Schizosaccharomyces pombe: one gene and its partner. The main gene of each other region encodes a partner of the protein of the gene in region 2 in a complex. Each region holds a gene or a part of one and is shown on either strand. Other genes may lie near its edges. The genes, in order: rrp42 and mtr3.

Region 1 (4,566 bases), 340 kb from region 2:
TTTTTTCTAAAAAGGGATTGCTAGTGACAGAGAAAAATTATTTAGAGGTTTATCCATATGAGAAATGGGAAAGTTCGGATCAATTACCAGAGTATAGACTTCACGAGGAATTCCAACCCCACATTCTCGACATGATGGACAGTTCAACGTCCTCCCCTTCCTATATCACTGAACCGGAGTTAATTGCCTTGATGGATGCCAATGGAATCGGGACAGATGCTACTATGGCAGAGCACATCGAAAAAGTTCAGGAGAGAGAATATGTCATAAAACGAAAAAAAAGGGGCCAAGGTGTAACTGAATTTGTACCAAGCTCTTTAGGAGTTGCTTTGGCAAAAGGCTATGATGAAATTGGTTTAGAGTGGAGTTTGACCAAGCCTTTCTTGCGAAAAGAAATGGAAGTTCAACTTAAAAACATAGAAAATGGCCAACTTAATCGGAATGTTCTAGTTCATATGATCCTTACCCAATTCCGTGATGTTTTTCATCTCACAAAGCAAAGATTCGATTGTTTAAAAAATGTAAGTCAAATTATCATTGTTTCCTACTTTTCCAATTTTCAAAATCCCATACTTTATTTATTAATCTTTTCATTTTATGGTTGCTAACAAATATAACGCAGAGTTGCAGAGTCTACCTTATGAGTCATAATGAACCGCAAACCTAGATAACCAGACCGCTCGTATACTTTTATTAACTTATTACCTTTCGTTTTTAAGCGTCGCATTAAGACCTTCATTTTTTTGGATAGCATCAGCCTTAAAAACATAAAACATCTTGAGTTGGATCCGTTAAGCAAGTCGACTTAATATCGTCAATGTCAGAAAAGACTAGCACAGTTACAATACACTATGGAAATCAGCGATTTCCGGTAGCAGTCAATCTAAATGAGACGTTAAGTGAACTGATTGATGATTTACTTGAAACGACTGAGATTTCTGAGAAGAAAGTCAAGCTTTTTTACGCTGGCAAGCGTTTAAAAGACAAAAAAGCCTCGTTATCAAAATTGGGTTTAAAAAATCATAGTAAAATTCTATGTATAAGACCACATAAGCAACAACGAGGTTCCAAGGAAAAAGACACGGTTGAGCCCGCTCCGAAAGCGGAAGCGGAGAATCCTGTATTTTCGCGTATTTCTGGAGAAATAAAAGCCATCGATCAGTATGTTGACAAAGAACTTTCCCCCATGTACGACAATTACGTAAATAAACCGTCGAACGATCCAAAGCAGAAAAACAAACAGAAACTAATGATAAGTGAACTACTTTTACAACAGCTTTTAAAATTGGATGGAGTTGACGTACTGGGCAGCGAGAAATTGCGTTTTGAACGGAAGCAACTTGTTTCTAAGATCCAAAAAATGTTGGATCACGTTGACCAAACAAGCCAAGAAGTGGCCGCATAGGCTTTATTATTTTTATAGACGTTACCATTTCATTTCCCTTAAATTATTCCCATCTACTATACTTGCTATATGACTTTGACCTAAACGAAATACAATGACCAACCATAGTAACCAAAAATACCGATGCATGCCTCTTCATGTAACAAAATTGATCCTGATTCCGTAACCCAAGTATTGCATTTATATATATATATAGAGAGAAAGATGCTATTATATAGGAAATGGAGACCAACCCAACCCAATTCATTTATGGAAGAATATCAAAAAATCCTAAACCCTTAAAAGATAGAATATCGCTGCTGGCGTTCAAAAGCTTAGTACCAACGGTAGACGCAGTCTCTAACAATTCTATATATCGCTCTACAGTTATTGCACGTCCAGTGGATGCGTAGCCTCCTCCAGTACCCACGACCCTGGTATAGCTAATAGCACCACTAGCTTGAACACCAATCGCATATGTCACTTGAGCGACACTTGATTCCTCAATTGTAGGATCAACAATTATCACTTGATCAATGCTACTAACCAAAATTATGACTGACATTAATTCTAACCCTTGCAAAGGTAATGCATTTTCCCATTCTGAATCAACATCGTATTCTTCGGAAGGCTCATATTTAGTAGATCCAATAGTGATGTCTGTGACATTGGGGGTAGAAATTTTAGGTAAACGTGTAGTCTGTAATGCTAAATAAGCAGCAAGACTTAAAGCTGAAAGAATGTTTTCGTAAGGAGACGAAGAAAGTATTACAACAGCATCTACGTGAATAATCCAAGCTTTAGATGGTGTAAATTTCAAATAGTCGACAGCAAGTGCGTTTAATAAATCCTGAAGGGCACTTGTAAGGAATGAAGGAATTTCATCGGTTTCACGATTCTGGATTGAAACAGATGGAGAACTACATAAAAAGTGTTAGCATACCAGCTTTTTTCAATTGATTCATATTGTTTGTTACGCCAAACAATGTTAATACGAACTCCAAATATCTCACGTACATTTCAACTGAAGCGACATATTTACCACCTTCGGGAGTAGCATCACCCACTTCTGCTTTTACACCTATGACTATCTCCACCGAAGACGCCCATTTAACTCTAGCAGAACCATTTGTACCAGGCAGAACATCTACTTGTCCAGAAAGCGGACGAAGCTGGTCTATCGAACGTCCATCATTCCGAATTGCAGGCTCAAATTCTGTTATTGATTTGTGTGTGTACGATAGTTCTGGTAATGACAATTGCATATGTTGGCTAATGGTATATCGTTTAAGAATAATTTTCCTTGCAATATTGCGTTGAGTTCTTGCGTATATTCTAAAGTTCGTTATGTATGCTACGCAGTTTTGTATCTGTTTAACGATATGCAAAACCGCGATAAGTTTTACATGTGATCTGTTATATTATAATACATAGGTATAACGGCTATGAGTCATTGAAAATATTGGTATATGTAGGTATTATTTATGATCTATTTCTGTTATTAGCTTCTGACTAAAGTGAGGAACGAAATTTAGTTTCCTATTTAAATTGTTGAACATATAAACTAAATATTTGTTTCAGATATCAAATGATTTGCCCCAATATCTATCATCTACGAGGCTATGTTTAAATAGAACATGTTCCAAATGTGATACACAACGTAGTAAATTATAGCGTTGTCAGTACTACTGCGACATGTTTTTTTATTAGCTAAGACTTGTTTATTGACACAGCAGAAAAGGCGCATTCTCTAAAAATTTCGCAAGTTTACATCAGTTGAAAATGCTTGGGCAGTTGGTGCTTCATTATAACCTATTCCTTCAAAATTTTGGATGCAAAACCTACGCTGAAATATTATTTACCACTTTGATGCAATTTGGCCGAGTAGCAATAAGATCATATCTGGTGTTCTGTTCGATAGCGTGCCATCTGTAAGTATCCATCCACAAGCAAGTTGGGCCTATTGGATCATGGATTTAAAGACGTTGTCATCGAAATAAAACTATCCAATTTCTTCTTTGATATAGAGCTAGTTCACTCGTTGCCTAGACCTATTTAGTTAAGGCTGTCTGTAAAATTTACCAAACGCATCAATTGTGTCCCTGATAACGTGCGTCGATTTTGGATTGTCAAATATGATTACAGTAGATCTGTTATTAGCTTGCAGTTCTCCTTTGTTCTCATGCGTAGATGTGATAGAATCCTCCCATTGCTATAGCTTCTAACTGAATTTAGGAACGTGATTCGATTATAAATTATTTATAATAATCGATTATTAAGGGATGTAACGGATTGTCAATATAAACAGACAGATCTCACTAGTATTTATACATTTGTGACACATGTTACAAGACGTAGTTCTCCATGATATACTGTACTATTGCAAACACGTTATTGAGATTAGCGTTTGACGCTAATCTGTCCTATAAAAAAACTACAAAAACTGTAGAACAAACAATAGCTATAAGACAATGTTTGGTACATGATATTTCATATTCATGATTTGAGATCATTTAGAGACTATGTGCAAAAATAAAAATTCAAAGAATGTATCCATAAGTGAAATTTGATTAAAGATGAGAGATAAAATTTATGGTGATAATCGCAGATTTTTTAAAACCAGGGAAGAACGTTCCAAGATAAAAAAATAAATTCTACCACCGATAAAGCAAGATTAAAAGTTAAATGATTAAAATAAAGAGCAGAAAATCTGTATGTGAAAGTAAAAACCGACAGAAAAGATTTATATACAGTCTAAGGAGTTGGAGATATAGGTTGGTAGCGTTGTTTGCTAAGACCAAATAATCCAAATCTCCTGCACAAATAAATTGAGAATAAAATAATGATAGTTAAAGCAACAGGAATCAAACCCAAATAAAGCCATTTGTAGTTTCCATTACCTAAATCCGGAGAGGGTTTAGGTACCGATGGTAAGCTGGCAAAGTCATTATTAAAGAAAGCAGTAATCAAGGTCTTCATTTCATTAGGATGATCGTATGGAACCATGTGACTAGCTTCAACTATGCGAGCAAAGGTCAGGTTCCGGGAACTAACATAGGAGCCCGATGGTTGATCAGAATAGCCCGGAAGATAAAATGGTTGAGCAGATTGATTTTGAAAACCAACAGCACCATTCCACTCCAGTGATCGGGTTAATTTTTCGCCAGATAAATAATTACAAA
Region 2 (3,792 bases):
TCTCGCAATAATAGAGCTGCTGCCTCTCCATTTAGAGGGTCCGACGCATTAGGATAACGGAGTAGCTGTGGAAGAAAAACCTCAAAAATATTAATCATATCAAACATTGGAGACCAAGTTTGATTTATCACGTCCAAGCAAACACTTCCACTAAGCTCATCGATATTGGGATGAAATATACGATTTACAAATCCAATACTTGGAGATTTCCAAGGATACTCACTTGGCAGTTCAACATGAACTTTCCATATTCCACCTGAGTAAGGGGTTTCAGACGGTCCATGGAACCTAACGTAAAATTCTTGCATATTATCATTGACAAGAGTTACCTCGTAATCACTCATCAGCAGCTTCATAACGTCCGTCTCAATTCTGCGCCTTGGGCTCGACATTTTGATTTTTTATAGTTTTATTTCAAAACTAAAAAAGAACTCAATAATTTTAAGCTAGTGTAGTATTCAAATACGGTAATTTGCTGCAATAAAGGCAAATTCGCAAATTCAGCAGTTTTCGAGTAATTTTCAATAAAATCAAATTATTTTGGACTTTTGGAAAGATTCTTAGCTTCCGTTTTAAATGGTTCTATCCTATTGTCCGTGAATATATCAAATTTTTAAAAGCAACAACTAATAATCATCAATGACCTAATTTAAATGAAAGCAATTTTATTGTATAGAAGAATCCCCTCTTTATCGTCCTTCTTATTGTTAAATATATTTTAATTTACAAACGAGGCAATTGAGCATAAGTTTGGCTATGATGAAGACGCGGAATTTCGCTGATTTGGAGGTTATAAGAAGCAGGTAACAGTATGTGAGTAACAATGATTCTAGTACTACCAAGATGCTTTCGTCTCAATGCAGCTTGATAAATTAGTATCAAATATATGTATTAATAAAATCTCAGCATTTGTTTTGTTCTATTGGAATCGATAAATAGACTGGAAAAAATTGGAAAGAGTTAATCGTTTGGCTACTGAATATATTCGCGAGTGATAAAAACTAAGATCTTTAATTTAATATTTACTCGTATTTTTCATAACAAACGTAACTTGCGGATGGCCAAGCTGATTTCAAAGAAGAAAATCTACTTAGGGAAGTCATCTGCTTGTTTGTCGAGAAAAGATAGCGTCTCCCTTCAAATGTGTGTTAAGGAAAAAAAGGCAAAACTTGAGCATTGCCAACTAATAGAAGAGAATTTTAAAAAGAAATAAATTTGATTATGTAATTTGTAAAATTGGTATAAATATTAGCCATCAACAGAATATTATTATAGAGGTAGAATTCCAATATCTAAGGATCTTCGGATTTCGACTTCTCTAGTAGCAGTGCATGATTAATTACTAACCGAGTATCTTTGGCATTCTTTATGCATTTTTCCGTCAAAAACGAAAGGCGACTCGGAGAGCAAGTGCCTCTTTCCCATACTTGAGTAACGTGACCAAGAGAAGCCATGTACCCCATAACTACAGAACCTTTAGCAGCCCTTGCACGCTCATCCACATAATCAGGATCAATCCAATATTCATCCGTATTGGGATTAAATAATACACTCGAGCCCGTCACCAAATCTATGCAGTCGATGTTAGCATCAGCTATTGCACTTGATGCGCAACTTATAGCAGCAGCCAATGTTGCTAATGCACCGTCACTTTCAATCACTTGAATATAAACGTCTATAGAACTTTTCGGATACAAATGCAGTAATATACTTGGAGAAATTGCTGCTTCAATCATTTGGGAATAGCTTTTTTCTTCGACGGTTTGTACATGTCCCTGACGAACAGAAGTAGAAAATGGGGATAATCTAAATTCACAATTCAACTTTGCTGATGAACGAAAAGCAAAAGTCTTACTAGGTCGAGGACCAGAGACTGTGCATGCAATTTTTATTTTTTCTGATTCAAAATAACTGCTACCGACAGCTTTAGTAGCCCACCCTAATTTTAGATCTAATTGTCAGTGAAAATGTTAATAATCGGTATCTTACATATTTTTCGACATCTGTCAACATCACGAGTCCGCGTGAAAACAGGTTGTTCTGGCTCTTCAAAATAAGGGGGAACGGATACACTCGGTCCATACACTCTCTTTCTATCTGACATCGATTTATAGAGTATTTGTTTTAACCTTGATGTACCGTTAAGAAAACAATACAGAAGCAGCCTGGATTTTCAGTGGTGGCTTCGCGTTTTGGGATGACGCGTTTGCATGCCTTAATATATATAACGATATTGTTTGATTCGGTGTATATATGACATATAGAAAGCAATTTTATCGCATCTAAAAGATTTTTGTAATGACTAAGCGTTTCAATCAGTAAGCTGGAAAATAAAAATGCTTTTAGAATAATGGTGCAAAATTTTTTTTTATCCAGCCAGCATACTTCAAGTGCGCGCTCTTAAATTTAATGAGTAATAAATTGTTAAGCATGTGTAACGAAAGAGCTCGCTATTTGAACATATAAAAACACTATATTATAGCCTACGTATGACTCTCCTCTGCCAACACCACGTTTCGTAATGAGTGTATGTAATTTGTTTAAATGATTCAAGTATTTTTCGCTTCTTACTAACATTGCAAAAGAATAACATGAACATTGATCAAACGGATCAAAATACTATCGATGAAGGGCTTTACTCTAGACAACTGTAAGTTTTATTAGAAACATGAAGAGTCATTATTACCGGTGTTGATTTGGTTTAGCTTTATGTTTTTATATTCTTTCTTGTACTGAGCGCTTGCTAATTTATCTAAAGTTATGTTTTAGGCCATGAGGCTATGAAACAAATGAGTCAGTCGAATGTCTTAATCATTGGCTGCAAAGGTTTAGGCGTTGAAATAGCAAAGAACGTTTGTCTAGCAGGTGTAAAAAGCGTTACTCTTTACGATCCTCAACCTACACGCATTGAGGACTTATCATCACAATATTTTCTTACAGAAGACGATATTGGTGTTCCTCGTGCAAAAGTAACGGTATCAAAGTTAGCAGAGCTTAATCAATATGTGCCTGTTTCTGTAGTTGATGAACTTTCAACAGAGTATCTAAAAAACTTCAAATGCGTGGTTGTCACAGAAACTTCTCTTACGAAACAGCTAGAAATTAACGACTTTACACACAAAAACCATATTGCTTATATTGCTGCTGACAGCCGTGGTCTTTTTGGATCGATATTTTGTGATTTTGGTGAGAACTTTATTTGTACTGACACTGATGGAAATGAACCTTTAACTGGAATGATCGCTTCAATTACTGATGATGGAGTTGTTACCATGCTTGAAGAAACTCGTCATGGATTGGAGAATGGTGATTTTGTTAAATTTACCGAAGTGAAGGGTATGCCTGGTTTAAATGATGGCACTCCTCGTAAAGTTGAAGTGAAAGGTCCATATACCTTTTCTATCGGATCTGTTAAAGATTTAGGAAGTGCCGGTTACAATGGTGTCTTTACCCAAGTTAAAGTTCCAACCAAAATATCTTTCAAATCTCTCCGCGAATCGCTCAAGGACCCTGAATATGTATATCCTGACTTTGGTAAAATGATGAGACCTCCACAATACCACATTGCTTTCCAGGCCCTTTCAGCATTTGCCGATGCGCATGAAGGTTCATTGCCTCGACCCCGTAACGACATTGATGCAGCTGAATTTTTCGAATTTTGTAAGAAAATTGCAAGCACACTTCAATTTGATGTTGAACTCGATGAAAAACTAATTAAGGAAATTTCATACCAGGCAAGAGGTGATTTGGTTGCAATGTCCGCGTTTTTGGGCGGTGCTGTAGCACAGGAAG

What was found.
Region 1: mtr3 (region 2) and rrp42 share a complex: the UniProt entries of both Schizosaccharomyces pombe proteins name them as parts of the RNA exosome complex.

Annotation. Positions count from the first base shown.
Region 1 is NC_003423.3:4,230,036-4,234,601, reverse strand, and holds rrp42 (exosome subunit Rrp42), read right to left. Parts: upstream 2,662-4,566; 5' UTR 2,650-2,661; coding exon 2,402-2,649; exon of another isoform or gene 2,336-2,401; intron 2,305-2,335; coding exon 1,653-2,304; 3' UTR 1,406-1,652; coding exon of another isoform or gene 818-1,405; 3' UTR 668-817; coding exon of another isoform or gene 623-667; 3' UTR 522-622; downstream 1-521. Other genes in the region: top3 (DNA topoisomerase III), read left to right, coding at 1-521, 623-667; BAG family molecular chaperone regulator Bag101, read left to right, coding at 818-1,405; kex1 (serine carboxypeptidase), read right to left, coding at 4,139-4,566. UniProt on the Schizosaccharomyces pombe protein: Non-catalytic component of the RNA exosome complex which has 3'->5' exoribonuclease activity and participates in a multitude of cellular RNA processing and degradation events.
Region 2 is NC_003423.3:3,886,175-3,889,966, forward strand, and holds mtr3 (exosome complex component mtr3), read right to left. Parts: upstream 2,144-3,792; 5' UTR 2,105-2,143; coding exon 1,990-2,104; exon of another isoform or gene 1,952-1,989; coding exon 1,293-1,951; 3' UTR 731-1,292; downstream 1-730. Other genes in the region: ubiquitin conjugating enzyme Ubc8, read right to left, coding at 1-392; uba1 (ubiquitin-activating enzyme E1), read left to right, coding at 2,522-2,527, 2,586-2,650, 2,759-3,792. UniProt on the Schizosaccharomyces pombe protein: Non-catalytic component of the RNA exosome complex which has 3'->5' exoribonuclease activity and participates in a multitude of cellular RNA processing and degradation events.